Linked DNA regions of Oreochromis niloticus. The protein of the gene in region 1 purifies or fractionates together with the protein of each later gene. This does not show direct contact. Links are inferred from orthologs where the notes say so. Each region holds a gene or a part of one and is shown in the gene's direction. Other genes may lie near its edges.

The links.
Region 2: the proteins of mafa (region 1) and usp5 purify together in Homo sapiens (affinity purification with western blotting; 3 studies listed by BioGRID, with this or other methods). This does not show direct contact. The link is inferred for Oreochromis niloticus from reciprocal best matches to the Homo sapiens genes MAF and USP5.

What each region holds. Positions count from the first base shown.
Region 1 is NC_031965.2:23,843,368-23,859,816, reverse strand, and holds the start of mafa (transcription factor Maf), read left to right. Parts: upstream 1-7,520; 5' UTR 7,521-8,331; coding exon 8,332-9,299; intron 9,300-16,449.
Region 2 is NC_031976.2:23,489,283-23,505,546, forward strand, and holds the start of usp5 (ubiquitin carboxyl-terminal hydrolase 5), read left to right. Parts: upstream 1-7,269; 5' UTR 7,270-7,300; coding exon 7,301-7,408; intron 7,409-7,968; coding exon 7,969-8,097; intron 8,098-8,197; coding exon 8,198-8,264; intron 8,265-8,371; coding exon 8,372-8,499; intron 8,500-9,706; coding exon 9,707-9,852; intron 9,853-10,160; coding exon 10,161-10,345; intron 10,346-10,460; coding exon 10,461-10,555; intron 10,556-12,847; coding exon 12,848-13,041; intron 13,042-13,259; coding exon 13,260-13,331; intron 13,332-14,140; coding exon 14,141-14,228; intron 14,229-14,388; coding exon 14,389-14,514; intron 14,515-14,798; coding exon 14,799-14,952; intron 14,953-15,092; coding exon 15,093-15,255; intron 15,256-15,347; coding exon 15,348-15,436; intron 15,437-16,264. Other genes in the region: p3h3 (prolyl 3-hydroxylase 3), read right to left, coding at 52-169, 311-461, 546-641, 715-842, 1,850-1,929, 2,035-2,087, 2,179-2,268, 2,483-2,625 and 5 more. UniProt on the Homo sapiens protein: Deubiquitinating enzyme that participates in a wide range of cellular processes by specifically cleaving isopeptide bonds between ubiquitin and substrate proteins or ubiquitin itself.

The sequences.
Region 1 (16,449 bases):
GCGTGCGTGTCAGGATGCAAAGGGAATCTTGATGCTTTGACACACTAATCACCACATTGACTGAATTATCATCATGTGCTGATTGCAAGAAAGCAATGTGAACTTTTATCAGTTTAGCTGCCAAGAGATATAAATGTACGCATTGTGCAATGGTGATCTATCTCTCTATCTCTCTGTTTTTCTCTTGCTCGCTCGCTCTCTCTGCCTATCTCCCTCTGTGTCTCTGTGTCTGTCAGACAAGCCCAGAGACTCATTGTTGCGCAGGAAATGCTCTCACGATACAGACTGCTAGCTTGTATACTCTAGATTTAACCCTATAATAGCAAGAGCGACATTTAACTAACCAGCTCCTGTTTGCCTTATGTTAAACCCTCATTCCAAAAACAAACTGGACTTTGACAGACTACAACCAAATAGAGTTACCAAGAAAAACCCAGACAGAAGACGAAACTGAAAGTATGGGGAGCAACTGGGGTGTTTTTTCAAATTATATATGTATTTTTGTTTGACATTATGCTTTGGAAATTAAAAGATATATTTCTTTTTTTTTTTCTTTTTTTGTTCAAGAGGTCTTTATGCTTACAGACACTGACAATCTCAGTGTCTGTAAACTGCTTCTGCTTCTGCCACTCATAAAGACTGACAATTATTTACCTGCACGTCTTGTGTCTCTCACGTACAAATACGGTGGGGCAGTAGTTGCCTTAGCTTAACAACATGTCTCCAGAGGAAGAGACATTTACAGGCCAAACAGCCCTGTGAATATCTTATCGCCCCCCTCCTTACCTATGCCTCTTTTATATGAGTCCACACTCATCAATGTCCACACTAAAATCTCCATTAAAATGAATCATTAAAATAGAGTTTGCAAATGAACTAAAACATATCTTTTGAAGAGTAGCAGGCCTTTGGCTCAGGATTGTTTAGTGCATTTTTTAGGCTCATTTAGCAGTGATAGATTTATTTATCCAGAAGGTGCTTCTCTGATCTTTTTATCAGTCTTGTAGGCTGAGAACGGGCCTGACTTTCAGCCTGCCTCCTAAGCCTCGTCAGTATCTTCCCATTTCATTAGGAATCGCTCAGCACTTCAGAGAAACATTCAATTACGCTCCAATGGTAATTAAATGTTCTTCAAATGAGTTCATTTAAATCATCGCCATTTGGGCTTCAGTTGGGTTTTTAATGCCGTGCTCAACACAGAGCTCAAATGAACGTTAAGCGCCTCACCCAGTGGGAATATTTGAACGGCCATGCTCACAATCACAGTCAGATGACTTTTAACCAGCTTAGCGGCGTTAACAATTGAGAAGATATCATTACTAGGAAAAGATCAAGACTGCAGGATTTAAACATGCAACAACTCTGATAATATTGGTAACTCTCTAAAGCAGATGGTGTGTACTTGCAGGTCAGAAATGAGCGCTGCAGCCTCACAGTTTCAATGTCACAGTCAGTCTTATTGGAGAACAGCAAGTGTGACATCGCCTGAAGTTGCTTTGCTCACCGTGTTAGATTATGTCTGATTTGACATGGGTAATAGAGGGGACAAAATTCATCCACTCACGTTTCATTGTGACGAAGGTTTCCACATTACAGGTTTGGAATGTATGACAATAAAAGGCTTAAATGTCATTGCAAATCCTCCAATTAGAAATAGCTGAAATGAGTTTTAACATTATGGGACATTATGGAAAAAGTTAAATATGACGAGGCAAAGCCCATAATGACACTTTGCACTCTTTCTTTTATAACAGTCTTTTTTTAGTTAATCAGACAATCCATTATAAAGGGCACAGGTTTAGTTTTACAATAGCTAATGCACCACTATAAAAGCTGTAAAGTGTTTTGCTTTTTTGTTTTTTTTACCAATGCTACCTTCAGAGCAGAACATAAGTACTGAGTACACTCGCAGAGAATAAACTTTTAATTGTTCATATTGTGTGTTAAAAGGACCACCTCCTACCACAATGGACCAGCCCTGTACAGTCCAACATAATAAATGCAATAATTATGTGTTTCTGATATAACTGTAAATCATTTAATGACCCTACAAGCGAGAGTTATTTTTAAAAGGGGATTCATCAATATTCTCCAGGGGTGTATAAAGAAAGGTCAGAAAATCTCTCATTAGGCTTGAGCATGCGCATGAGTGCGTGCCTCTCTTTGCATTTGTATATGTCTGCATGTAGTTGGGAATATGTTTGTGGAATTGTTTCTGCTTTTGTGTATTTATTTAAATAGAAGAAATGTCCTTATCACCCATTCACAAATATGTAGACGTATTTCATCACTGCGTGGTCATCTGCCACACAAGACTGATAAAATGAAGATCCTGCTTTTCTAAACATTATAATATTATGTGTCATAACCCTGAAGCCACATCATTTTTTGTATATGAGAAGTATTAGTTTTATGTACCAACATACAACACATAGGATTTGAGAACCCTTCTCAAAACTCTGTGGAGCTTATCAAACTGTTGTTTGTCATAAGCAGACTGTTTATCTTCACTAAGTCAATAGTCTGTATTGGCATATTTGACAAATACTGTGTTGAACATAATAAAGAGATAGTCTCATTAGGTTCACTGTAATGACCATGTAAAAGGTGACAAATGAATGGGAAAACAACATAAATAAGGACATGTCCAAGTGTTAAACTAAAGCTGAAGCCCTTGTATAGAGGTATAACATTGGAAAGGTATAACGTTAGGTGGTATTATATCATATTATTATTTACCTCTGCTATGATGATCAACTCAACGAGAATTGCAGGAGTAAAAAGAGGTATCACAATAAAATTTAACTTACAAAAGCAAATAATTCTTGTGTTCTGATATTCATTGTGCATTTATTCATTTTTGCATTTGTGAAAATAAACAGCAGGAGTTAGAGGCTGGATACTTTCCAGAGGCTTCTGTACAACGCAACAACTGAACATTGCATGTTTGCAGCGTAAAATCTTGTAGACTGGAAATTGAGAAATAGTAGCTTTATGGTAACGAACCTGCTATATCAGCACTGAACTGCTATATTGTATATTGCTCACCAGTGTATTGAAAAAACAAACAAGTAAGGGCTGCAAACAATGCAAATGCAAACAATTAAGTAAACATATTTTCTGTTCTTTCTTCTAAATTTAAAATATTAAACTCAGAACTGGCTTCCTTTCTTACAATGGCCTAAAAATGATCATATGAAGTGTAGCAGCTTAGAAAGGATAGAAACTTTTATCCCAATCAAAACTTAAACACACACTCTCACAAACAGATGCGTCCCAAAACTATCATGCTAGCAAATTACACAAGTAAAGGGAAATACTCAAGCATCACAGGCGCACACACATTTACACGCAGAGTGAAAGTTCAAAGTCCAAGTCGTGTGAAATCATTGGATGTCCGAAGGAGATAACCCTGGAAAGCTATCCACCAGTTAATATATCATTTAATTGTGATACACATTAACCTTACACATGACAGTAAACCAATACATTATGTTCATGTGAATGTAATTATGGCTAATATGCAAACCACTCTGCCAACGCTTGTACAATATTGACTAGTCTTCTTCGATTACTTTGCATGGGGTGAAGAGAATAGCATACATTTACTGGGCACATAGTATTAATTAGCAACCATGTCACTGAACTTGACAAATATTCAGCTGGGAGGGGAAGGGAATGGAATATGAGAGATAAAACCTCAAAACTCATGTGTCATCCCCGGGTCGTGTGACACTAAGACAGTCAAACATGTGTGACTGTGCTGTTCACAGCACTGTAACACATTCACTGGTTTACTGCTGGTTCTTTGCCATGAAGCCAAAGAACTGATACTAACTTGTGTTCAGACACCAGAGTTCTCTGCTTACATAAAGCCCACTAGCTGTAGGCTACGAAATACTTTCCACCAGTGTCACAGCGGCTAACCAAACTCCACCTCAGACTACAACCCTGCTCTCCTCCTGACCTTATTTTGTCTTCTCTGTCCTCTATCACACCCTTCTCGGCCTCACCCTTCTTCTGACTAATGGATTAAAGTAATTGTGACACGGCTGTGCCCACATTCTGTTGGTAGGGTGAAAATTGATATTCCGGCTTTGTTGCTGTCACTAAACTGTTGATGAAATTGCATTACAGCAGTGCAAAACCAGCTCATCTCGTTAGTAAAGATGTAAAGCATGGGTTGCTTTTCTGTCTTCTTCATTTTACAGTTAAAAGTAACGCCCAGAATGCTATGTTTTATTTTGTTTCTTGTTTGGTAAAGTCATACTGAACTTTTTTTTTAGCTAAATTGCCTGTATGGTTGCAGGCTCTATCGGCTTCCAGGTATTCATGAGTGCCAACATGGATTCAGTAACAGTCTCTGGTTAGTAGCAGCTTAGAAAAGTGAAGGAATGCAAATAGGGGGAGTAGATGGCCCTGCCTGAAACTGAGGAAGCCCCTTCCCACCACACACAAAGTCTAACAGATACAAAAGACAACTTACTGACCTCTGAACTTCCCACTCCGTTGCCTCTAGAGCTAACCAGAATGAGAGAAATTCAGACAGATAACAGCAAAAGACCAACCTAAAACACAGTATTCATGTTAATGCTAAAATTGTCTTCTGAGGTTTAACAACTACTGACTATATACTTTGTAAAAAATATGTGTCACCATAGACAAGGAGTCACACAACAGATGTGTGTAGAAGTAATGGAGAAGTAAATTTGAGTCCTTATCTTATCAAAGCCATTTTTAATATTCTAGATATGTTGACGTAATATTCTTCCTTTGAACCAACATAAAAATATTAAAGTCACCAGTCTGTTGTCTAAAATCGAACAAGTGAACATAAAGCAGATATTGCTAATTAACGTAAATATATTAATGTTTATGATGTTTAATTGCACTAATATTCCTGTTTCCATGATTGCGGGCATTTCCTTCAGCAAGGTCTGCAGGATTAAAGACATATTGCCAACAAAAGACACCTCTAACACTTAAGATATCACAGGAGCACGGCCCTAAGCTGATCAGATCTAATCTCAGATCAGAAGATCAAATTAGAACATGACCAACACCCTAGATTGATCATAAACCATTACAGACCGAAGCTACAAATAATCTTGTTTTGTTTCTTGTTTGTTTCTTGTTTCGTTTTTAAACTGTACACTGTAAACAACTACACAGTGTTTAATGCATCACATTTGACGGTTTACATGATGCATTTTAGATTAGCAAATTTAACATAGTCAAAGCAAATGAATTGATAACATGTAAGTGGATCCATAATTCAGTGTTTAACACATTCACCTAACCTGTGAAAGATCCCCAGCTCAAGAGTGGGAAGGGACACAAATCCCAGAGAGAGTTGTGCCAGGAAGGGCAAAAATCCATGCCAAATCAAATATGTGGATTCATCCCTTGTGGCAACTCAAAATGAAAATGTGTGTTAATTAAATAAAATGAGTTTAAGTGACACACAAAGTGAGTATATACACAAATAACCTTCTTAAGTCGTGTCTCACAATTCTTAACTTTGGAAAGCCAACGAACCCATTGAACATTAATGACTACAGCATTCTAACAAGCTGCACTCTTCGGTTTCATGTGGCTGCTGTGGTTTCAAAAATCCTCCAGGTTTTTTTTTCAAATTGCTGAAAAGCCTGAGCGAAAAAATGAGGTGACCTATTTAATGAGACTGGATGGTTTCACATCTTTATAAGTCAACCTCGCTTTGCTGTTCCATCTCATCCCATGAACTTCTGTCTTTCCAGTTTGATAAGTTGTCTTCACAGCATATACTGATCTCTCTCCATGTAGATCTCTCACAGCTCTGCATCATCAATAACTTCAAAGGCACAAAAGCAGCTAAATTAGGTTCGCCACTTTCTTCTGTCATGACTAATGAGCTTTCCCTTCGTTTGTATATTAGTCTCAGTCCGCTGTGGCTGCACCCCAGGGAACAGGCTGCTGCTGTGCCTTCCTGTGAACAGGTAAGCCCAAACAGATGACAAGGCAACAGAATGGAAATGAAAACAATAGGGTTTTGTTTGAATTTTATTTGAGCCATATGTAGCCATACAAATGGATACATCCACTTACCCTTTAATAAAACATTCAGTAACAGTAATGATGATGTTTTTACACAAAACACAGCCTTATAAAAAATCTTTTATTCTGCATTTATTCTAATTTATTCAACAAGTAATAAAATATATTTTGAAAGTCCCACTGCATTTAATGATTAGAATATCAGAGTCAGAATCCCTGAGGATGTTATGTCAAAAAAACTGAAAGACATAACCTGAACTATAGTTTTGGTCAGCCATAGCCAAGTGTTGAACTCCCCGTGGTTGTAACATATCTGGTTTATTGTCGAGATCATCTTCCACAGCTTTTGGCAGAATGGACATGACTGAGTTGAACTATCATTAAATAGGACGCATACAAAAATCTAAAAATATACATCATTGAAAAGATGAGATCATACACTTGGAGAGAGAGTGGGAAACAGGCTATGATTATAGGCTTTTGTCACAGGAAAGAAATGGTTATTTGTCAGCACCATGTCAAAATAGGCCACAAAAGAAATCAACACTCTTGTGGCCAGTAAGACAGGGCCACAGTGTGGCTTACATCACTATTTTCCCTAACAAACTGCTTTATTTTTTTTTAAGTGAGCTGCTATCAGTCATTAGTTAATTGCATTTTGCCTATACATTAATAGGAGACTTCAACTATACACTGTATACAAACTGTATACAAACCTTACTATTTATTCTGACTTTAAAAGGTCATGCTGTGTCCACTGGGGTAAAGAAACTATAGTCACCTAACTAGACAGGACTTACAGTGGAAGCTGGATTACCAAGACTGACTCATGTTAGTGCTGTACACAAGTCAATTAAATGTAGGAGACCTCTGAACTGAGATAAAGAGCAATGTACGAGAGAGTACTCAGATAAAGTGAGTTTTATGGCTTTTACAGAATATCAGTTTGCACTGAGCAGCGGGTTCACCCGCATCCACTTCCTCTGATATGACTACTTCCATAAAATACAAAATTGACTTTGTTATGTAAGTTGTTTGAAATTTAATTGGGGTACTATGTCTTTTCCCTACTGAAATGAAGAAAACAACGACACTCGGACCGTGTATATGTGTTTGTGTTTTGCAAACAGCATACGTTTCATTAAACTTTCAACTCTTCGAAAATTGTGTGGACTGGATGGGGAGGGGAATCCCTTTCACTAGCATGCCCAAAAGGTGGCAGTGTTGAGTTTTATAATGGTGTGCGAAAACATGACAACCTCTTCAATCCGCCTTTCATATTTTTTTCCCTTTTTTTGTCAAGTTACCGCGCAGCTTCTTTTACATGCCACTTTTGTTTTATATTTAGTTGGTAAAACATAGTTTCTAGATTTTAATTGCGCTGTACATTCAGACAAATATCAGACATTGCCATTAGGAAGTGGACGGGGGTTTTTTTCAGGTAATGTTCGCAAGATTAAGACTTTTGTCTTAAAATGTATAACCAGTGTACGCTATAGGATTACACGAACTACGTAAGGTCTGTTTTATGATTGCTTTCTCTCTTTTTTTTCTATATGTCAAGCATTACAACTCCGTTTTGTAATTAATTTAGAGCATGCATGCTCTGCTTCGTTCCACTTACAACTCATACTTCGAAAAAATAAATATATAAACAAATAAATAAAAAAATTGAAATCGAAATTACGATAATAAGAACAAAGGGATCTATGCCCCGACTGACACTCAGCTGGTGTCCATTGACGGTAGATAAAAGTTTTGTTTCTCTAGGCTACTAATATGTTAATTAGCTGTTAGAGTGTGCGACCCTATTGGCTCGTCGTCCGAGTCAATTTCCCATTTCCAGCCTGACGTCAGAGCGGCTACAATGCTTAAACTCATCTGCTGTGTGATCCCACTAAAAAATCGCCCCACCAGACAGCAGCTTAGAACGTGCAAGTGAGCTTTTACTCCCTGACTTTCGGTGTGTTTCCCTCTCCGCGTGCGCAATGTATTCATGAAGACACCGTAAAGTGTTAAATGTTTGAAATCCAAAACCGCCGAATTTCACATGCTGAAAAAGGACTCCGCTACTCGTACGCGCGGCACTGGTGTGTCAGTGCAATAGACTCTGCAAAGAAACTCTACTCTCACAAGCCTGCAAGTCCGCGGCTGCAAAAAGGACGCTGAAAACCTAATTTTTTTTTTCAGTTTCAAGACAAACGCGTAAAAATCAAACTGGCTCACGTTCTTCCCAACCAACCCAGTTTGACAGCTGCTCTTCACCCCATTTGGAGGACTGTCAGCAGCAAGAGGATGGCATCAGAGCTGGCAATGAGCAACTCCGACCTGCCCACCAGTCCCCTGGCCATGGAATATGTTAATGACTTCGATCTGATGAAGTTTGAAGTGAAAAAGGAGCCGGTGGAGCCCGATCGCAACATCAGCCAGTGCAGTCGCCTTATCGCCGGGGGATCCTTGTCTTCCACCCCGATGAGCACGCCTTGCAGCTCGGTGCCCCCTTCCCCAAGCTTCTCGGCGCCCAGTCCGGGCTCGGGGAGTGAGCAGAAGACACACATTGAGGATTTCTACTGGATGTCCGGTTATCAACAGCAGCTGAATCCAGAGGCGCTGGGCTTCAGCCCCGAAGACGCGGTCGAGGCGCTGATCAACAGCAGTCACCAGCTCCAGTCTTTCGATGGCTATGCCAGGGGCCAGCAGTTTGCTGGCGCAGCCGGAGCAGGAAGCACCATGGCCGGGGAAGAGATGGGGTCCGCCGCGGCGGTGGTGTCGGCAGTAATTGCTGCGGCAGCCGCTCAGAACGGAGCGCAACACCACCACCACCACCATCACCACCACAGCAGCAGCCACCACCAGGCACCGGGCGTCCAGTCCAACGGCACTTCTGGGACAAATCACCCACACATGCGCTTGGAGGAGCGGTTCACAGACGAGCAGCTGGTGACCATGTCAGTGCGGGAGCTCAACCGGCAGCTACGGGGGGTCAGCAAAGAAGAGGTGATCAGATTGAAACAGAAGAGGAGGACCCTAAAGAACAGAGGCTACGCTCAGTCCTGCCGGTTCAAGCGGGTTCAGCAGCGGCACGTCCTGGAGGGAGAGAAGACACAACTCATGCAGCAGGTCGAGCACCTAAAGCAAGAGATCTCCAGGCTGGTCCGGGAGAGGGACGCGTACAAAGAAAAGTATGAGAAGCTCATCAGCAACGGCTTCAGAGAAAATGGATCCAGCAGTGACAACAACCCTTCATCTCCGGAGTTTTTCATGTGAGTTTCGACATTATCGCGAAATAAAACTATATCAGATGAATAACTCACCCCGCGTAAAAAGTTTTCATTCTGAAACTTTTTTTTTATTATTTACTTGACGCAAATCCCACTATATGCCTAGATCAAGAACTAATTTATCAACTTTTTGATTTTTTTTTATTAAATTTATTTTTTTGAAAACAAGTTCCCTCCATTCTACCACTGCTGTATATTTGGAGGGCTTTGTTATCCGCATTTTTTTTTAATCTAGAAGAGGCGTATTGAGAAAACTTTCTACTTTTTGCTATCATACTCTGTATATTACACATAGTTTGTCTGTCAAGATTTTTTTTTTCATCTCTGTTCATTAGATTTGCAGTGTTTGATATTTGAAAGTTGATCCAACTTTATGCCGCAGTATACCAAGTGTGCATGCAAGCACTAAGTATACTCCTTTGAAGTTCATCAACTTGGCCCTTTTTCATCATTTTACTTTTGATTCAGTGTACAGATTCTTATCAAAAGTGCATCCATCGACAGTATGTTTTTCCTTTTTTTTTTCTTTCTTTCTCCTTTTTTATTTTTTATTTTTTATTTTTTTGTCTGCCAAACTTGGAGGATTGCGAGCCTGCCGTTTGACGCCACCTCATCTCATGCGTTTGCTTGTTATTGTGTGGAGCAACAAAAGACTGTATCCATTACAAACTCTTCATTGTTTTAAAGAGATGTGTTATTGAACTGCCCTGCATGCTGGACATGTATGGTTTTTCTTTCTGTGCTTGAAGATGTCCTTTTTTGTCGGATGACTCCAGCATGGCACTCATACTTCATTTAGGCCTCCTCACTTTTTTGGGACAGAGACAAAAAAGTGACAGGACTTCCCACCCCCTGTAGTGGTGCATTTCAGCTGTGTTGAAGTGCACCACCATCGGCTGTCATAAGACTGCAGTGAATGCGCTGGCATTCCTGGTGGAAGTTTGTCGGCGGGGACCCTGGTGCGAGGGGAAAAAGAAAAGACTTCACTATGAAGGAAATTACCAGTCAATTTCCTGGAAGTTTAGTCTGTTGCTAAGCCTATGTTGTTATTTAAATATATTCCATTGTGCATTTGTCATCATCTGAATAATTTTTAAAGCGTAATTTAAAGAAAAAGTTTTATAATCTATGATGCAAAAGATATCATGTGCTACAGCTTATGTCATATAGTTTCTAGGATAATTAATATTAAGATTGCTGCCCAAAACTATTTTTCACACTGATTAAGAGAAATTGGCTCGGCTCCAATTTATACAGTGAGCAGTATTGTGCAGTGCATAAAACAGCGCTTTTGCAGCATGTGCTATAAACCGAAGTGTGAGAGATCTGGTGTCCGCCACACATTTTATTATTATATTTTAAATAACTATATTTAAAAAAAGTATATTTGGAGAAGATAATTCTCACAACCGGAGTCTTAGTAAATTACTGTGCTTTTGAAAATGTGTTTCTTGATTGAACTGACTTATTCTGAACAGAAATGCACTAAAAAATGTCATGTGGAAGTTAAGGGAAAATTAGCTTTCCATCTCCCAAGAAGATAGATCTGACATTCGTTTACGACCTAGTCGTACCATTTGGAGATATTAGCATCAGTTCAGGGTATACTGTTGTTTTCTCTTAAATAAACCTAAAAATTTGCAAAGCAATAAGTAATTTTTCTAATCTATAATGTCCGGACATTATTAGATCGTCAGGGAGTGTCACCCTGCATGTATAAAAGGGGGGAGTACCATTCGCCAATAAATTTTGAAAATATGTTAATTAATCTTTCATCTTACATATAGTATATATATACTTATATATATATATTTTGCTGTGCAAAATTATTTCATTCACTAACCATATGTGATGTTCATATGTGCTCGTTTCTCATTTCATACAATTAAATGATATGCAATAAATGTATGTAATTGTCTTCAATAAGTTTCTCACTTTTCTTTTGAGTTGTCCTGAGACTCGTTGTTGTTTGTGAGTGAAACACACAGAAATGAAACTAGAAAACATGTCATCTCCATATTACTGCCCCACATTTTAACACTGCTTGTAGGGGTCTTGTTACCCTCTTTTTAAGGTGTTTCTGCCAGAATTAATTTAGTAAGAGCTTCTTAGACCATTTTGGAAGAATCAGAAACAGGAATGAGTTGAACATTTAAGGAAAGCAATTCAGGCTGGCAGTGTAAAAAAAATGTAAAATGTAGAGATGCAAGTTCATTGTTGCAATCACTTAATGAAGCCTAATAATAATAACAATAAATCACAGTGGCATGCAGCTAATTAAACATTTCTGCTTTGCCAGTCTGTTGAATGATAGAGACGCATGTTTCTTCACAATCCATGAATTAACACCAAATACAAATATACGTATTTATTATTTCCTATGATGATGATCCTAAAAGGGAGAAACAGACCTTACCTGCTGACATTTTTCATTTAAACTCCAACGTGATTCTATCGTTATAATCAAATAATTATGTGTTAGAAATATTGTGTTTGCATCTCAGTCCATGAATTTCATCCTAATTTTTATTTGCAGAAGTCCAGTTTGATTTTATGTCTGATAAATCCTGTTAATGTTATTGTGAACTGTCTGGTCATGTGTGAGCATTTCTATTTGTGCATATGTGTGTGCTTGTCTTAAGTGCTGCTTCATGTGGGAGTATGCAGGCGTGTATTTGGACTTAGGTGTAAATCTGAAAGTGTGTGTGTGTTTCCTTGAGTGGCAGTATGTAATAATGACAACGCTGTGAGTTTCTTGTGGCTGTGCATGATGCATGCTCCATATTTGTACCCTTCACTTACCCTTTTTTACACATTCTTTGCTTACTTATCTGTTGTGCCCGCTTACCGTGTTTCTCGGACACTCTGCACTTACAGTCATTAGCATGTCATCGTTTGGATTTCTCAGTTTTATCCAGCTCTATCCTGCTTGTCAGTGGGTCTGGACGTTGGCCTGAAGCAGACATGCTGTGGGAGACGGGGTGCACCGAGGGCACAGCCATGTCAGGCATGTGAGGGGGCGCTGGAGAAGGTGCCAATTTATGTCAGCCACTGTGGTTAACAGAAGAGTCTCCGCTCTGCTGTACCCAATCTTGCATTTCATTTGGTGTTTTTACATCATACGCTGAATTCTTTTTAACATAACTTTTGGACTACACTTGGACACGAACTAAACTTGCCACTTTCCAGAAAGACAAGAGGAAAAGTTCTTTGCTGAGTTCACAAGGAATAGGCTTGTGGGCATCCGGAACAATTTGTTTGTTGAAACAGGAAGACCAACGTGTCAAAATACACTTTGAGGAAACGCTACAGTTTCTGAAGAAAGATTCAATCTGGATTTGTCTTCTGTTTTGCAGTTTAGCCACAGATTATCAGTGTCCAACGGATACAGACAAAGAACGCCTTTTATAAAAATGAACCGCACTGTCAGTGTGTTAAAGCAGTAAGTGCTCAACTGTTCGGAGTCTTTGCCATTATAAATTTCATACTTGTTAAATTTGCAAAAAAGCAAGCTTCTGCGCCATCTGCCAATGATGATGTGCTACACAGCTCATCAAAAAGGAGAGAGAGGGAGAGGGAGAGGGAGAAAGACAGTTTTAACCCAAGATCTGAGGTGTGCACTGCTGCTGTGGTGGCTGATTTGCCCAGAGTGAGGGGAGAAGCTGAGACAATAGTCAGGCTTGGGCTGAATTAAATGATTTTGCTGATGATTAATAGTGGTGTGGGCCAGTGGCTCCTGCGATGTAAAGATGATAAATCGTGAGTGTAGCTCTGTGCAGCTGTGCCAGTGTTGGGTCTTAGCATGTACACACCATGCAATTTACAGCCAAGCCGTTCTCCTTCTTCTTCAATTTATCTAATTACATCTAAAGCAGTAGTACTGTTATAGTCTGATATGTCACATTAACCACAACAATGTATGAAATGACTTTAGAGAGGATGATCATTTGCTTTTCCCCTCATTTAAAAGACATGTTTTTGTATTTGCCATTTCAAAGAGGAAATAATTTCCTCTTTACTTAAGAGTCTCTTCTTTTCTGCCTCTCTTTAAACCATGCTTTCAGTGCAGTGGTTTTTTTTGATGTGTTTTGAGTGGCATGTAAAAAATGAACATTTGTTTTTTTGCTCAGGGCTTCTTTATAAGACTCTTAAACTTATTTAGTTTGACTGTTTCCTCATTGGAACAGATCATTTAGACCTCTAATGTCCATCCACTAAAACACAGTCACCGCACGCATACTAGACATGAAAACACACTCACCAACTTACAATACGAAAACAAAAGAATAGATTTGCTCCAGTCTTTTGTTTCAGAGCATAGCGTTAGTTGTGCTTCTCTCTGTGTGTGACTCAAACACTCGAGTCCCCGAGCTAAATGGCATTTTTTGCGAAGACAGATCTAATTTGTAAAAAGATGTTTCCTCTTATATCTGTGGTGCCCGTACGCAGCGGTTATGTAAGTGATAAAATGATCGATCTTCCAGCGAGGCACTCATGTGGAACGCTGGCGCTATGCAGGTTGACAGCATAAGATGCAGCACAATGTTCAGTTAAGTACCAGTACGCCAGTTGACAGAACCAAAAATAAGAGCCGGTTGGGGGTTTGAATTCTTACAGGCTTTAGAAAGTGCCAGAGGAACAATTGGAGCAAATCTTTTTGTCTTGCTGTTTCGCACGGTATGTCGTGTATGTGTTTGTAGGTGTAGATGCACGAATCCGTGTGTGTGCATGCATGTGTATTTCTCTTGTTTTGTTTTTTGTCAAAGAGGATGAGCAGAGGTCAAAAGTTACAGCGCACAAGGCTGCTCTCAAAGTCATTAGAGTAATCCCTGCCCTAGGGAACTCATGCTCATTTCCTCTGCCCAGAACCCAATGAATGAGATGTACACACACATCCAGCATGGCATAGTATCCAGTAAATTCAGCACTACTCCCTGCTATATATTTTTTAATTATCAACATCCTGTATTTCACTCATATCTTTACTTTTTTTTGAATTGCAAGAAGACAAATAATATATCTTTGACTGTGAAAAAATTATATAATAATGCTATATTATAATAGCACACACACAAAAGGCTTTTAAATACAGGGTGCAGGACAACTGTATATTAAATATGCTGTGAAGGGCAGTGGCACTTGGCTTAAGCTGGCCAGGTTTATTTTCTCGCTGCCATTCATTCTGATTATTTTCAGGTATTTATTTATTTATTTATTTATTTATTTACTTAACCCCACTTAGCCGAGCTGCCTCCGAGTCACTCTGAGTCTGGTAATATTTGTGGCACATGGTGAACATTCAATCTTGTTCTCACACCCACTTCATTCAAGCCTTTTATTGTGGGTGTTGCAAAACAAAGCAGCCAGTCGTACTTGGGGTAAATTCATTGTTCCTGTCTTAAATATCAACTGACTCAGAGTGGGTGTGTTAAGTTGTGGCTTTCTGTCACATTTTACACAACTGGGGTTAATAAAGACTTACAAGATATCAAAAGTGCCAAGTTTCAACTGTGTTTTTTTTTTAAAACATATTTTTCTAATCTGTCTTAGTGTGATGATGAATCCAAAATAAATGGAATAAGATCTGTGTTTCTTTTTTGTTCTTTGAATTTTCACATTTGTTCATCCTACCTTTGCATGAAATTTGCCTCTGTTTTTCATTTTTATTATTTTCATTTTTGCACATTTTTAGAGCTGAAGCATCTCCGAGCATCTCTCATATTCCTAAACATGTTCAGAGGACATCTCAGGGCCACAGTTATATTGCTTTTTGTTAACAGTTAGAAAATGTTCTAAATGAGTTTGGTTGTGGATAAACACCACTGTCGACAGAAGATGGGAGAGAGGATGTGCAGCAGCAGCAGCAGCAGCAGTCAGGTGTCTCAACACAACCAGGTGGCAGCCACATCTGTGAATGGTCTGTCTAAGTACAGAAACAAAAAAAGGAACATTATTCTCACTTCATAGTGTAGAAGAGAGGAATAGTACAATCGTATAAGAGAGGAATGGTGCAATAGTGCAGTTCACTGGGAATAAATAAATGCCAGGCATCAATACTTACACTTTACGCTTTGCTGTCTATGATGTCTGTACATTTCTTACTTCCTTTTGTGGCAGAAAGCTTGCTTCAAATAGACATTAAGCTGATACATGTGGTGTCATTAGAGAGTCGTCCTTGAAAGACTGGCTGCAGGTTATGTTGGTAATGAGGTGGTAGGGATTTGCTGGGGTAATTTTATATGTCTGTAAATGGACCCAAACCAAGAGCCTGTGACTTAAATAAATGCAGCAGTGCTAAAGCGCTAACAGAGTAAAAGAAAAAGTGAGGCAAACAGTCTTTCAAACGGGCATATGTTTGTGAAATTTCTCCCACTAAAAATCTAGTTACATGAGTGAAATCCCTCTGCGCTCCACAAATGTTATTGTTTTCTAAACATTTAAGTCCATTCCTTTGGTTCCTCAGGTGTAACTTTTAAAGCAGATCAGTATGAAATGGGGAGCTGCATGCAGAGCGATACACATGGAGCATAGATGTAAGTGCAATTTTGTTGTTTAGGTAAGTCCAAGTAATATCTCAGCATATATATTTTTAGACTTTAAGTACTTTCACCTTGAATGACAGGTGAAATAAAGCAAACCTAAGACATCCTGCTGTATCTAACAGGTGATATGATTTGTCAGCTGATTGGCTGCTGATAACAGTTTAGCACCATTAGGAGCCTTTTGGGTTTTTTTGGTTTTTTCTCAACATCTGTCATCACAACAGCTGCCTCGCTGCTTTTGTGTCGGTTCTATGTGGCATTTATTTGAAAATCCAGTGATTTAAAATTTCCCTCACAGTAGCGTACAGGCAAATTACTTCCACCGCTGTTATTTTCCAGGAACTTTAAACCTTGCTTGGAATCTGCACAGGGAGCTAAGAGCTAAGCTAATGTTTTTACTTGTGCAGCAACATTTATAGGGGATATGAACTGTATTTGGACCTGCCTAAAGCAACATGCTCACTTTTGTATGTTTTGCCAGGGTACTTCTGAAAGTTTAAGTCACAAGGTAGCAGGGAAACAGGACTTTATCCCTCTCTTTTTTATTTGCCACGATTCCTCCCCTGTTAGAACAATTAATTATTCAACTG
Region 2 (16,264 bases), on another chromosome or scaffold:
GTGTGAGCCCAAATTTATTATTAATCCACGAAGAGATGTTTTTTTCAGTACCTGAGGTCTCTGTGTGTGAAAGCTGGTGGTTCCTTCCAACACTGCTTGGTTTCCGGCTCGAGGAGACAGTTGTCAACGTGGACGGGGTGAGAGAGGTCGAGCCTGCCCTTCTGATCGTCTGATTTAAAAAGAAAAAACAGAACAAGAACAAAATAACACATTTAACTTTAAGTAATAAAGTAAGAATAGAGTGGATGATTTAGTTACACATTAAAGGACCTGTTCCATTTATCCCAGTATTGAATACTGTTGGTTTTACCTGTGACAGCAGTGCGACAGACCAGGTGTGTAAAAGTGATGAAAAGTCCTGAGGGGCTCCTGAAGTAGGAGTGCAGCACGGTTCGCACTCTATCACCCAGCTCATGTAACAGCTTGGCATCTGATTGGTTCACCAGGCCTTCCTGAGCCAACTGAGGAAGAAGCAGCAGTGAGGGTCACGAGATGCTGCTGAGAGCATCTCGTAGACCTGCTTCAGTTATGTCATTTCCACCCACCTTCACCGCCCTGAGGACAGTCAGACCTTCAAACGTCTCATGAGGAGTGTGTGGAGACCGCCGTCCTCGATAGCCATCTCCAAGAGATCCTGCCACCTATGGAGACCACGTAAATGTGTATGTTAGGGGTTTTCACATGCGTGCGTTAAAAAAAACTGATTGAACTTACTGATGCTAACTGCAGTATTCTGTCACACTCCTTCTCCGTCATGACTCCATCCAGGACGACTCGATTGGTGCCGTTCAGCATCTCGTCGTCCATTGTGATCGTCACGCCCACCTGAGGCACCGGACCACCTGCAGAGAGGACAAATAAGAAAGGATAAGACAGTAAATGGGTCACTTCTTATTTTAAGCAGAAGATGGTGGTACGACTGTGTTTTTTCTGATATGAAGTCGCCGAAGCTGCCAAATGGGAAATATTTGTTTCTATAATGACTGTATTTAATGGGGCGACCAGATCCCAACAAACTGAATATATTCTCTTTGATTTTACTTTTATTTCAGGCGCTGGTCTGTTTAGTCTTCAGGTTTCAGTAGATCCATAGAAACTGTGTCACTTCACGCCTCGTTTTCCTCTGTGTGAAATTGATAAATTATTCAAGCAAATAAGACAAAACTCTATTTCTCGGTATAAACTGCCGCTTCAATTTCTTTGTAATAGTTTCCATAATATTCAACAAAACCCACAAAGCTTGTGACTTTTTGGTGACTTTCCCTGATGGTCATAGCAGCAGACAGGCTAATCTTGACTTGACTATAAGTGACTCCTTCCCTGTTTTATATTTTAGAAAAGTCTAAGCAGTGTAATATAAAGAGTAGAATGATTCATTGACACGTATTTCATAGGATATGTAGATTACTGCTAATTTTAGTCATTATTTAATAATAGTCTTCTAGTGTGTCATGGTAAAGTCATCTTTAACAGAGATGCCGAGAAACTGTGACACACTGCAAATAAATGATCCTCTATTCTCTAATGTGTTAGATTTTCACATACATAAGATGTGTGAGCTGTTATAATCTGTTGATCCTTACTGACAACCCTACAAAGCCTATAGGTACGTGTGGATGTTATTCATTATTTCACTTGTTAATGGATAGATGGATGTTAATGGTTACATGCCACATAAACAGGCATATCTGTAATGGATACACCTGTGTTTCCTTGTTTTAAGCTACCTGAAGTGCAATTAAGGTGACGAGGAGCTCCTCCCATGACGCCCTAGGTAGAAAAGGCTGAAAACACATAGCATAAGGAAATTACCTGCAACATACTGACTCCCCAACATACTGTTTCTTACCTGCAAAAAACCCACTGTCATCCACTTCCTCTTGCTGCTCGCCCACTTTCATTTTCTCATTCATTTTCTCTTTTTCAGCTCTAACATTAAAACACAAAAGATACAGATGGAGTTTTCTGTTTCATTAGTTTCCACTAGTGACAGATTCACCTTTGATTTCTTTTTCATTTTCTTTCTTTTTTTACCTCCAGATCTCCCTCAATGATTCAGGTACAACATCTTCTGGAGTCCAAAGATCCTGCACAGAGGGTGATGAATAACCTCAGCAAAGAAATGCTTCATAGCTGGCTCTCTTGTCACTGCACTGCACATTTGGCATCAGTACTTACTGGATCTGTGAAAGTGAAGTCGAGGTTCTCCATACCAAAATACAACAGCTTCTTCTCCTGCAAGGAGTGGCTGATGTATCTGACAATCTCCTGTGTGACAAAAACACACAAACCTGTGCTTAAATATGACTTTAAAGATGAATTTGAAACCTAAGTATGCTTGAAATAACTGAACAAGAGAAGTGAAAAAATGTATTTCTCATTTAAATTACTTGGATTACTTTATTGGATTTATAACTTTTTTACGTTTTGACACCACTGTGGTAATTTTAATATAATGAACCTTGAGTGGTTTGAATGGTACCTGAGCAGGCTGTGCGCTCTGTGACTCTGTGTCTCCCCCTAGTGTCTCATGGTAGAGCTGCAGGTTGTCTAAGGAGTCCTTGTCAGAGGGGTAAAACAGCAGGAGAGAGCGAAGTGTCTGCAACGCCCCGCTTATGTCACCGGCTGCCGGGAATTGAGGATGCAAAGTAAGGCAAAGTAGTGCATCAGTCTTAAGATGAATAATAAAATCACGTGTGTGACCTTCACATTGACCTAAAAAATCAGACCTTTAAACTGTGCGATGTGCAGATGCTCAAGCTGTGTTGGCAGGAAGTCCTCCTGAGCAGAAATCCTTCCAGGTCGTGTGGCCACTTGAGTCACGCATGACTGTCGGCATGAGAGCAGCGAGAGGGAGAGGGCTGGACAGAAAACAAAAACTGGTGACAACTGGCTCTTTCTGGTCTCTTTCTGTCTGGCTCAAAACTTCTGCCTGCTTCTTACCTGCTGCCTTTTCAAACACGCCGTCAACGCTGTCAACTCCCCTGTCCTCAGGCAGCCGTTGGGAAGCGACTTCACACTGCACCCTGCACTCCTCTGTCTGCTGCAGGGTTTCATTCACACAAGCTTTCCATTTCTCTGCTGCTTGCTTCCATTCAGAGTTAGCCTCGAGCTGCAGTGCAGCATCATACAGGACCTGAAGTCAGTGATACAGAGACAGAGATTAACACAGGGAAATAACACAGTCGCCATTTGCTTGCTAATTAAAAAAACAACAACTAATGAGTTGTATATTGTTTTGTATCATAGTGCTTAAGAAATATAACACTTTTAAATATAACTATTTTAAAATTGCTGTGCAAAAGTATTCTCAGTGCTCCTCTAAGGAATCCTTACAGCAGCATTAACAAACATTTACTGGAGGAGAAAAAGATTAACCGTTTATAAAACACACACTAACCAATACCGATGAGATGCTATTGAATTATAGGTGGTTTACACACTGATTATTACAATTCTTATTGTTAAGTGTTACCCAAAGCTAAAGGCTAGCGTTTGATGATGAAGTACATTTTTACTTTTGAGACATGTGCATGCAAACAGACAAGTGAAGGTGAGAGTGAGACAGAGAAATTCAGTCCCTCAGGCCACGTCTGACTCTCCACAGTGACGTCTCTAAAATCATTCTGTTTGAACGCCCTTCATCAGCTGTTGAGTTGTGAACTTAAATCAGAGTGAGGACTATTAGAGGACTAGTTATGGCTTAGTTAGGGTCAGTCAGTTAAAGAAATGTCTGATATGTTTGTTCAAAGCCTTTAAACCTGTCTGCATGTCGGCTATCATTAACTAGTTAGCAAGTGCAAAAACTCGCACTTCCACTGCTTAACTAGTGAATCAAAGCTTTTATGCTTATTAGGAACTAAAACTGAGAACTATTAGTTCATATCAGAGGACTAAAGTGCTTCAAAAAGATAAGTAGTTTGGTCTTTTGTGCTATCTGCTTATAATTGGACAATAACAACACTAGCGGCTGTGAAAGAAGGTCGAAGGTAAGGCAATATGTTTGACTAGTGCTGACAAACATTGTTAACCTAACCATTAAGCCTCTTTAGATAAGTGTTCTTTATTTTCACCTACAGATTATATGACAATGAAGCAGCTTTTTAGAATTTCTGTTGAATTAAGATAATTTTTTTAAGGTAATCACAAGATTTTTGCTTTAAATTGCAACATTTGGAGTGGATGTAAGACAGCCTTCAGTTTTTTTAAATGTCTTTTTAAGACCTACAAATTTCATGTGTCTCTCCTCTGTGCTTATGAAGGTATGAGGGCTCCAAAATGCTGAAGGAGCAGCTCATTCTGAATGGGTCAGACAGTGAATTTATTCAGATTTGACTGATTTTTCTAAGCAGTGCAACCCAGTTTCTTCCCACTTACACTGTATACCCCATTACTCTTCCCTCCTCACCCAGTGTTTCTCATTGTGACTCTCTCTGTCCTGGAAATCTTCGTCGGTCACGCCGTCCATCCGTCTGTACTTCTCGATGTTGTTTCTCATCTCCAGGTGAGAGGGGTTGGCCACAAAGTAGGTATGAGCTGCCGATGCCGCCCTCTGCAACTTTTCTAGCTGATGTGGAGGAAAATGAGAGACTGAATGAAGTTTGTTACAGACCACTAAGGGTGTTGCTGTGATTATTTATGCAGCTGTGAGCTGAACTATAATTATGGCTGCAGACCATACTGACAGGTGCTTCCCTTTAAATGACAATTTGGAACACAGTACTGGTAGAAGTAATGACAATTTAGGAGCTTTATTATGCAGCAGCTCCTTATGGCTGTGTAAAGAACGACTTACCTTGTAGTAGGTGACTTGCAGAAAGTTATAAGGGTTGCGAGTGCCAAACTCGTACTCTATATCAGCAGAAACAGGAAGCTGTCCAACATGTGTGACAGAGCGTCCAATGCAGAACCTCAAACACTCAGCTTTTTGATGCACCCAGTCCAGGGCCCAGAGGTCCCACATAGTCCCCTGTTCAGAGTCTAACAACACACACACCATTGAAAAGACGATAAGGTCCCAGCCTGTGGCATATATTTTATACATTTTGATTTTTAGAACTGCCAACAATCTACAACAAAACACAAAAAAGCCTATCTTACACATTCTTTGAGCTCTTGAGGTCACATTGTTTTTTAGCTACGCATTTAGACACCGAGAAGTAAGGGTGAAGCCGCCAGTAACTTCATAAAATCATAAAATCTAGTTTCCAACTAGTAATTAACACAGACTCAAAGCTGTTGTCTGGCTACATGATAGGTCCAATCTTCTTCTTTTGGCCGTTCCCTTTAGGGCTGACCACAATGAATCACCTGCCTCCATCTCACTCTTTCCCTATTATCCACCATCTGCATGCCGTCCTTCACCACATCTATGAACCTCTGCTGTGGTCTTCCTCTTTTATTCTCACCTTGCTGCTGCCGCCAATATATATAGCTACTATCTCACCTGTGCGTATGTCCAAACCATCTCAACCATGCCTCTCTAACTCGTCTCCACCCACTCCATCCTGCCTGCATTCCCTTCTTCACCTCTCCCTTGTGTACTGTTTGTCGCTTTGGATATCCCAGGTATTTAAACTCATCTACCTTTACTACCGCTACTCCTCTTCTCTTCAGAGCATACACATCACTATTTCGTCTGCATGAATCCATGAATACTCTACGTATTCATGGAGTAGGTCAGTCGTTCCTCTGGCTTTTCCTTAAAGTTGGCAGGTTTGAAAACATTCAGCAGGTTGTATGGAAGAAGGTACTAATGTCTGCTCCCTTATTTCTCGCAGCAGATGCCCCTCCTGACATAGCCCTTCATCCCTGAGGGTGTGTTTGTGATCTAGCAAGTGTAATTAAGTCAGCTGTGAGAAGCTAAAAGAATAACTGAATTTCACAAAATCTGTTCTAATATGTTGCATGATGCACTGATGACATTAATATCAGGGTATAAAATAAAAAGACTGGCTGACAGCTGATTCAGACACCGACACTTAGTCTGTATTTCTTTGTTCCATTAGCTTTAACTCTTCATTACACAGTTTTGAAACATTTAGTTCGCCCAAAACTGTGTCACAGATGATCTTTATTGGCCAATTTTTGCTGATATGCCAATATAAGTCAGCAGGGACAAAACTGGTCTACACCAGTGTTAAATAGCTAATTTATTAATGCAGTTTAATTTAATGAGCTTCTACTGCACCATTCAGGCGCATTGTTCAGACAGATGATCATATTACCAGTAATTGAATATCTGATATAATTTATATTAGCGCCCAGCTTACCCAGTTTCTTCAGAGCCTCTGTCCCTGCTGCCATACAGTCATCATGACACTGCCTGCGGACCCTGAACAGTGATTCCCTGGTCGCGATGGATTTCTCCAGCAGCTCTGCAGCTTTGCCCCACTCCCCACTAAAATATGCGCGGACCCCGCTGTAATACAGAAAATCATACGGCTGGAGAAGTGACATAACATTGGGGCTGCCTCTTGCCCAAGCCGTTGAGGTAAAACTAAACAGTGCGAGAATAGCACAATTAAACGCCACGTATACAGTCAAACGTCCCGATTGAAGCGCCATGGTCCGACAGGCAATCCCAGCAGAGGAGGCGAAGGTGGAAGCAGAGGAGGGACTCCAAGGGGAGAACTACCCACAAAGTTTCCTCCCTGTTAAGAAAGTGGGGGCTTTTTTTGTATTTTTATGTACTTTTTATGAATTTAATACATGTAATACAACGCTGCGCGTTTATTAACGACTCCCGTTGGGTTTGCTTGAGTTTGTCAAATTGGGTTTGAGGTATTGATGAGTTTTGACTTGATTAAACTTGTTATGTTTGAAGCTACAGTATTTGTATCTCATCCGAGAGGAACCCGAAGTACGCAACCGACGTTACCGTAAATATAACTGTAAAACAGCTTTGGTAGTTTGAAGTGAAACTAATAGTTGTTGGTTATATTTTGAAGAAATTAATCATTTCTTATAATTAATAGAGCATTAACGCACATTCACATTTTCATGAGGCGACTCGGCAGTGGACATACCAAGTAAAAAATAGTCGTTTTTGCATTATAAAAATGAGAGCGCGTACCTATATCCTGTGGATTACGGTAATGAGCAGCAGCCACTCTGTGTGCGGGACTTCTTTACGGCCTTCCCTCAACACAAGGCAGCGTCTCATGATTCATTCAGGCAAACACAGGCAGCACAACACGGGCCAGACAACGGACACTCTTCCGAGCCAGGGTATCAAGAGGCTGGGTGTCCAAACTCAGAGCAGGTGTCCCGCTGCAAGGTGGAACTAGCGAGCTTCGTCATGGCGGACGTTGGTGAGCTTTTGATGTCGGTTTTGTCCACAATTCGGGTCCCGAAACCCGGGGACCGCGTCCACAAAGACGAATGCGCCTTGTCATTTTCCTCACCGGTGAGCCATTTTTCCTTTTGTAAATCAAAACTTCAGTTGATAAACAGTGTTGCTGTGTTGTATTCCCTTCCTCTTTCGTGATTCACACTAACGTAACGTTTTGCCAGTGCTGTCTCACTTTAATGGTCTGTTTTTCTACGTTTTCCCCATTTCACATAACTAGCAGGTTAGCCTCAAGCTAAGCTAATAATGCAATGTAATGGAAACTTAGCGGTTATAGCTTGTTAGCTAGCTCTGTGGGTTTAACTGAGTAAGCTGTCAAACTAAGTCAGTCACAACTGTTGCAGGACTATTGATGATGTAAATTTACCTTTGCTCAGAGTGTGTCACACTTAAGAGACACTATTTTTCTGTGGACTTTAAAATAAACGAGCATTGTTTAACAGCAAAGGCTAGCAAATTGACAGGAGTGCTAGTTACTTTCATTGTAGCAACTGATGCTGTGACATGCTTAAGACTTATAGATCGCATCCAACTTTAATTTGCAAGTCTACTGCAAGTGGTGCGAGATATACAGAGAGGACAATAAGCATTAAACACTGTCTGTGCTTCCTTTACAGGAGAGTGAAGGAGGCCTGTATGTGTGCATGAACAGTTTCCTGGGTTTGGGGAGTCAGTATGTTGACAGGCACCATGCTCGTTCTGGTCAGAGGGCTTATTTGCACATCACCCGGACTCGTAAGGCCAAGGTGGGACACTTTATGGTTAAAATACGGTGATCTAAATTACATTTATCTCTATCAGCACCATCCTTTTACATGTCCTCTCACCTACTCTCAATGCCAACAGAAGGAAGATGATGGTAACTCTGGCTCTGGACACCCACCTAAGAAAAAGCCCACCAGACTGGCTATAGGTGAGTGCATAAGCATACATGTATTTAGAAAAAAGGCTAACTCTATGGGTATCACTTTTTCCAAGAGGGACATATGCTTCCACCCTTGTTGTTTTTGTTCTTTTCAGGTATTGAAGGAGGGTTTGATGTAGAGCAGGAGCAATATGAGGAGGATGTAAAAGTGGTGATTTTGCCAGACAGGCAGGAGGTGACATCCGAGGACCTGACCACCATGCCTGATGTCGTAAGAGAGCGGGTGAGAGGTCATGTTTGTTTTCTAGTCTGTTCAGGTTTTTCCCAGGTTGTCAGTATGGCAGTAGATGGTAAGATAAGATGTGCTTTATTCATTTCAAATGTTGGAAATCTCATAACTATATGCTCGATTATCAAACAAGATAACTGATACAAAATAATTTTAATGCCACATCCTGTTTCACAGTGTGGCATGAAACAGGAAACCCATCCCTTTTCTTTGTTATTTACATTCACATGTATTTTTTTTCCCATCAAATTATAGTTAAAATGAAAGGAAATCCACTGATTTGTTTTTGAAAGTTGAATAAATCCATAATCTTTTAAAAGTCTTGCTATAATTTTGTTAAATAATACTGCACCAAGATTTTGACCAAAATAATCATTATTATGATTTTTACCTTAATCACACAGCCTTACATTATCTTAGCAAACAAGTGAACTTTTTCAACAGTCCTTTAATACAAGAACTTGGGTGGCATGCATATAGGCGTAAATTATGATTTATGGTTGATAAACAAGGCATTTTCTCTTGTTTCCCAGTTGAGTTGGATATGAGCACTCAACTGTGACACAGTCAGATCAAATGATAAACAGTTTTTGAACACGTCAGCTCCCTAGTGCAAAGTGTGAGATCTCTGGATGCTCCTATGTGTAAATAGTGCAAATAATTGTCCAGAGAATTCACAGTGACAGTGGGCATGTGTCCTGCCCTCCACATGCTTTGCCTAGGCAGCTATCTCGCCTAAACCTCACAAGAGTATTTCCAGTAGTGAGAACACGACCGGAGTGGATTATCTCAAGTTGCCTGCCTCACTTCAGACAATGTCCAGACCTGACTGCCAACATTTTCCAGAGTTCATGCTTTTTCTATTGTCAGTTATCAAGTATTTGAAGTTTTATCAAATCACTTAGTTAGATTGTAGGTGGTAAGATGTGTATTCTTTGAGTAATGTTTGGTTTATTGTTTTGAGCTGTATTTGTTACCATGGTGGAATAATTTCTGGTGTTGTTTCATGTTACTTGCCTGTTTGTTTGTGTGGAGAGGATGCATAGTGCTACTATATCATCTCTTTATCATCATCTAACCTTTTGCCTCCTTCCAGTCTGTTTGGGGTTTTCTTTTTCTTTAAAGAAAAATCTCTGTGCTTAAGAGCAAGTGGACTTCAAATGAGATTTTCTTGAAATGTGTCCCCCTGCTGTCCACCTAGGTGTCCCTGTCTATGGCGGGTATCATGGCAGCTGACTCAGTGTCTCATACCTTACAAGTTCAGCAGTGGGATGGAGAGGTGAGACAGGAGTCGAAGCATGCCGCTGACCTTAAACAGCTAGACAATGGAGTCAAGATCCCTCCCAGGTGAGGTCAAAGCTCTATTATTTAATAATTTTGCCATGCAGCAGCTCACATATTCTCTTCAAATTTGATAAAAGATGTGCTGGCTGTCTATATGTACAATAAATCTTATAGAGTTGCCACAGGTGTATCTATTTTAGTCAAGATACTGCCTTTCTACATTTAGAATCCACTGATTCAATATTGATCCGGTTCCCTTTTCAGTAATCTATTGTAAAAGAGAGAATGTTGCCATTTAAGCTCTATAAAGGGCTGTTATCTTTATATCAGAAAGTGTGTTTATTGGAGGCTTTCTCTTCTGTCTGTCGTAGTGGCTGGCGGTGCGAGGTGTGTGACCTCCAGGAGAACATTTGGATGAACCTGACGGATGGCAAAGTTCTGTGTGGCCGCAGGTACTTTGATGGCTCTGGAGGCAACAACCATGCTCTTCTCCACTACCAGGAGACCGGTTACCCACTTGCTGTCAAACTCGGTACCATCACTCCTGATGGCGCTGGTAAGCGAAAAAACGATTTGATAATAGTTGGTTTGTGTTAATTAACTTTAAAAATAAATTACAGAGATTTTGCATTTGTCTGAAGTTCAGTCCCTGTGCTGTTTTGTTTTTCCAGATGTGTATTCCTATGATGAGGACGACATGGTGCTCGATTCAAAGTTACCAGAGCACCTGGCTCACTTTGGCATTGACATGATGACCATGGAGAAAGTAAGTTTTGTTTTTCTTGCTGATTTTATTTTGGATTTAATCACTTATCGACCAATACAAGTTGAGAGCTGTCAGATTTCTTCCTGGTTTTTAATGTTATGCATTAGATCAAGGTCTTGTACATAGAAGTATTGATCAGTCTGCTGCTTTATGATTGGAGTGTTGTAAATTTAGACAGGGATATGGGACTTTTTTCCCCCTTTGCAGACATCCAAATAATGGTGGTGCCTACTTTTGTCTGTTAGATAGCCATTGATTCTATGGTGTTGCAAAAATTAAGGTCTAAAAACGTTGCAGTGCTACTGAGCTGAAAACACTTAAAAAAGATACTTCTCTTATTGAATATCTCACCCCCTTCTGATCTGGTTTTCATTTATTATTGCTTTTGTTTTTTGTTAACTACATATAATGTTGTTCTTAATATAATAGTTCTTTAATATAATTATTACTGCTTATCATATTGACCTACTTCCCCTTGTTTCATTTTCTGCAACACCTGTTTCCTCTTTGAATCCCTGCTGTCTTTTATTTCTTGGCCACCTGCTTCCCCTCTTATGCAGAGTGCAGTCTACACAGCTGTCTTGTCTAAGATGTCTGTAGCTCTCACTGTGTACTCTAATGTTATTTCTTTTCTTGCTGATGTTTTTCTGTACACACCTAATGATGTTGCACAGCCGAGGGGGTGAAAGAATTGTGGGATAGTAAAGCAGAAGAAAGAATACAGCAGTTAGTGGTATATTATAGTTTGTCTGCCTGCCTGGTGTCATTAATGAGTCATACTGCCTAATCTCGTTTATCAGTTTTCTTAATATAAAAACTTTTCTTTAATGTTTTGTATTAAGGCTCTTGCAAAGAATTTTGCTTTCTTACGCAACATATCTTCCCTTTACTTGTAAGATAAGATGCTTTGTTTATCTTAAGTTGAGAAGTTATGGCAGCACAAATATTAAAGATGTGCTATAACATGCTTAAAGTGGAATAAGACTGGCTCAATGAGGAAAAAAATAAACATGCGAACAATCAAAATTAGATTTTGGGGAGCAATGAATAAGTATCTAAATACAAGTTTGGATTACACAATTGTCTTTCTTATGAGGAAATCATCTTAGGTTAAAGTTCTGCATCATAAACCAAACAATATTAAACTGTGTCACTGGTCTGTTGCAATACTCAGTTTCAGCCAAACTTGACTTGTTGGTCAGATTGCCTCATATTTGACTCTAGAATACTTTGGTAACAGAGAAGGTCATGGTTGACTTGATGATTGTGAGGGGCCCAGGTTGTATGGCTGCTAAACAAATACAAATCATCAACCCTTTACCGAGCTTGATAGATGTTTATGCTGTTTGGTTTTCTCAGTATGTGGTGCTGTGTATTACAGTCAAACATGTCCTCTTTGGTCTGATCTATCCAAAGGAAATTGTCTCAGAACTCTTGTGACTAGTTCAGATGCAACTTTGCAAACCTAAGCCATGGTGCTGTGTTTTTTAAGCAAGATTTTTTTTTTTTCTCCTGGAAACCTTTAAAAACAAACCATACATTTTCTAATCATGCTGTAATTAAATGTAATGTTTAACACACTGAGGCTTGTACAGTCTGAGATGTAGCATTTGGGTTTTTTGGGGTCTCTGAGCATTATGTGGCCTGACTTTGGGGTGATTGCCTACAAATGGTCAAATCCTCTGATTTTATAGTGGTCACTGATAATCTTTTACTGTTACTGATAATCAGTTAATCAATTAAACCCTCTTAATTACTATGGAAGCAGAAAGGGTATGCTCAGTTTTTAATTGGACTGCATAGAGTCTTGTAAAATTTATTTTGAATTTTGAATTTGACTGAAAATTAGCAAGAGCTCTAAACTCTGTGCAGCACATCAGTTTCTTGCTTCACATTAGAACTATGTTAAATTGCATTGTCCCTTTTAAATAAATAATGACATGAAATGAAATTCATAGTCATTTGGATGGCCTCTGTGTTAACTGATGGAGCAGTCGGTGTAGTGATTCAAACTGAATTCATACAGCAACAGCAGGTGCTGCTGGCCTTGGCAAGTAATATGAATGTATTCCTCAGCTAACAGTTCAGTATTTAGGCCACAGAAGTGTTCCTCCACATGGTGTAAACCGAGATTACACAATGTTTCATTCACAAACAGTGCAGTCCCCACTTTCTAAACCACTCAGATTAACTGAGCTCTGCCTGAAAAGTCCTGAAGCCAGATACAGTCACACAGTCCACGTAGTGTGATTGCAGCCACCATACTTACTGCATTTGCTTTTCTGCTTTCAGACTGAGAGGACAATGACAGAGCTGGAGATTGCTGTGAATCAGCGTGTGGGAGAGTGGGAGGTGATCCAGGAGTCGGGGACCACCCTGCGCCCCCTGTTTGGCCCCGGCCTGACTGGCATGAAGAACCTGGGAAACAGCTGCTACCTCAATTCTGTCATGCAAGTGCTCTTCACCATCCCAGACTTCCAGAGCAAGTCAGTAACCTCCTTTTTTTTTTTTTTTTTTTTTTTTTTTTTTTACAGTCCCCATCCAGCTGTGTGTCTCATGTTATTTCTTATGGCAAACTGAAATTAAAAATGTTGCTTTTTAGTCAATATTCACCTAAAAGGTGAAAATTTGTCTGATACTTTGCTTTAACATTTAAGATGAATCCAAAGAATTTCCTTCCAGCTTTTCTGTCCATACCTCACAGGTACGTGTCTAATATCGACAAGATAATTGATGAAGCACCGAGCGACCCAACCCAGGACTTCAAAACCCAAGTGTGAGTTTCCTTTAAATTTCCTTTAAATTCCTTTAAATTTTAAACTACAAGCTTTTGTATAATTATTAAATGTCCAAAAACACCCCTCATTTGTACTGCAGGAGAGTGAAAGCGGCTCTTTTTAAAATGTTAGACGTGTTTTCGTGCTACCTTAGTTTTCATGCACATGTATTTACATACACACATATGGCTTCCTGATATTGGTGTCACACACTGTAAAATCAAATAAGCCATCTGCATAAATATACACAGGCACATTTACAGTGTGCCAGCTGTCAGCAACGAACCCAGTTGTGCGCTTTCCTGGCAGCTGCATTTTCAAGTGTGATAATTGTCTTTTAATGTGTAAATACTGCCTTTCTCTATTGAAAGGTGCTATTTTTAGACAGACTTACATCGACACCTGTTTGCTGTTGTTTCAGTAGCACAGCAGGAAATCAACTAAAGAGCCTGCTTTTAAAGAAAATCCATTATTGTGAAAACAGAAGGTCGACGCAGCTCATGTAACTTGACCCTTTATCAACAGTTTGATATAATAAGATTAAGTCTACTTGCTATCTAATTTTATTGTTTTCTTGTTTTCATTAAACTCATATCTACTTTATTCTAAACAATCTCTGCTTTTCAGTAGCTGCGCAGCAACCTTTCAACACAGATAATAATATCAGCTCCATGATTAGATTTTCCAGCTTGTTATTTGAAATAAAAATGTAAAAAATACATCTTGGTCTATATTTAAATCCACCACCTGCATGAGGCTGTGGGATCCTGTTGGATGTGCAGCTTGTCAGCTTGTTTGTTTATTACAGAGCCAAGCTCGGTTATGGTCTGCTGTCAGGAGACTATTCCAAACCAGCACCAGACCCAGGAGAGGAAAATGGTGCAGCTGAACCCAGGGTAAGCAGACAGAATCAGTCACACTGGATCCAGAAATCTAGGTTTGGAAAAATATCTGTCCCTTATGCTGGGATTTTCGCTCAGAAGTGAGTGAGACTATAGTACAACTAATGATGGCTCCCACAACTGAGAAATCCTTCTGCTCCGGCTTTGCTTTCAGGGAGACCAAATCGGAATAGCACCGCAAATGTTCAAAGCACTTGTTGGGCGGGGCCACCCGGAGTTCTCCACCAATCGACAACAGGATGCTCAGGAGTTTTTATTGCACTTCATAAACATGGTGGAGGTAAAGTATAACTCTCACTGTATTTTTTATTTTTTTGTTTGTTTTTTTTGCCTTTTTCAACTTTATTGGAAAGGAAGAGAGGACAGGAAAGTGGGGGCAGAAAGAAGGGGGAAGATGGGTGGCAAAGGGCCACGGGTCAGACTCGAACCTGGGCCGGCCACTCTCAGCCGTATGGCATGTGGTCGCCCGCTCAAAGCACTGAGCTAAAGGGCCACCCACTGTCTTTTACTTTTAATTTTTTCCTTCTTATTTTGTTTTAAATATCCATTTTCTTCTTCCTACAGAGAAACTGCCGCTCTGGGTCCAACCCGTCTGAAGCCTTCAGGTTTCTGGTGGAGGAGCGGATTGTGTGTCAGCAGTCACAGAAAGCCAAATACACACAGCGGGTGGATTACATCGTTCAGCTGCCCGTGCCCATGGACCAGGCTACCAACACAGGTGAGGATGAGGACAATCTCTGCAACATTAACATTTTGATCTTTCCAAGTATTTAGACTTGAAGACTTGAGCATTTTATTAAACAGAAACCCGTTATCATTATTATTATTATTATTGTTATTATTTATTTTAAATAACAGAAGAGCTTCAGGAGGCTGAGCGCCGCCGTGAAGAGGGGGACTCGTCAGCTCCGACAGTGCGTGCACAAATCCCCTTCACAGCGTGCATGGCGGCTCTCAGCGAACCAGAGATCCTCACGGACTTCTGGAGCTCGGCTGTTCAAGGAAAAACTACTGCTACCAAGTATGAAGAGAGACACCCTCACAATGGAAGTAGTGAACTGGAACAGATTTTAAAAGATCTCTAGTAATGACAGCCTTTCTCTCGTTTATCAGAACGACCCGGTTCGCCTCTTTCCCCGACCACCTGGTTATCCAGATTAAGAAGTTCACCTTTGGTCTTGACTGGGTGCCCAAAAAACTGGGTGAGCAAAAGATATGGTTACATTTTTGTTTTGAAAACATTAAAAAAAAAAAAAAAAAAAAAAGAAATTTCTGTGTACAAACATGCACGTCAGAGGGGTTTACTATGAACCCTTTTTACTATTTACTTTTTTTTTTTTTTGCCGAACTGAGGGTCACCTGCTTCAGTCAGACATTATTAGAAAAAGAGGTGATGGAGAACCTACAAAAATAGGCTGTTTATTTAAAAAAAACATTAAATTAAATGCTGGTGCTGCAAAATAAAATGAGAGAGCAATGCTACATTGTTGAGATTTCAAAGGCTGTACATACATCTATTCATCCCTCCCATGTGAAGTCTTGTCATGGTAGTGGCAGGCTAACCAGGGTATTCCTAACCCTACAGACAAAACTCCTTCACCACAGTAGTACGAGACAGTGCCTACATTACTACTGACCCATCATCACTTGTGAATGGGAACTCTGTCACCACTCTGAGGATGAGGGAGTGCAGTTTTTGGTTGGTTGGTTGGTCTTTTTGAGGGGAGGAGGGGTTGTCTGTTTGTTATTGTTTTCAAATACTTGCTGCTTCCATGCTTCAGTGTAAAACAAAATATTAAAAAATCGTAGATGTGTAACATTTAAAATTTTGCAAAGAAACGCTTAAAATATTTTGATTACTGAAACTGTAGATTACTGAAAATGAGATTTCTCACTAGGAAACAACCACCACAACATTTCAAACTGCAATAAAATCGATATATATTGTTAAAAAAAACCACACTTTTTTTTTTTTTTTTTTCATCATTAGCAATTGACAGGAAGTTGATATTTTGAATTGTACTTGATGA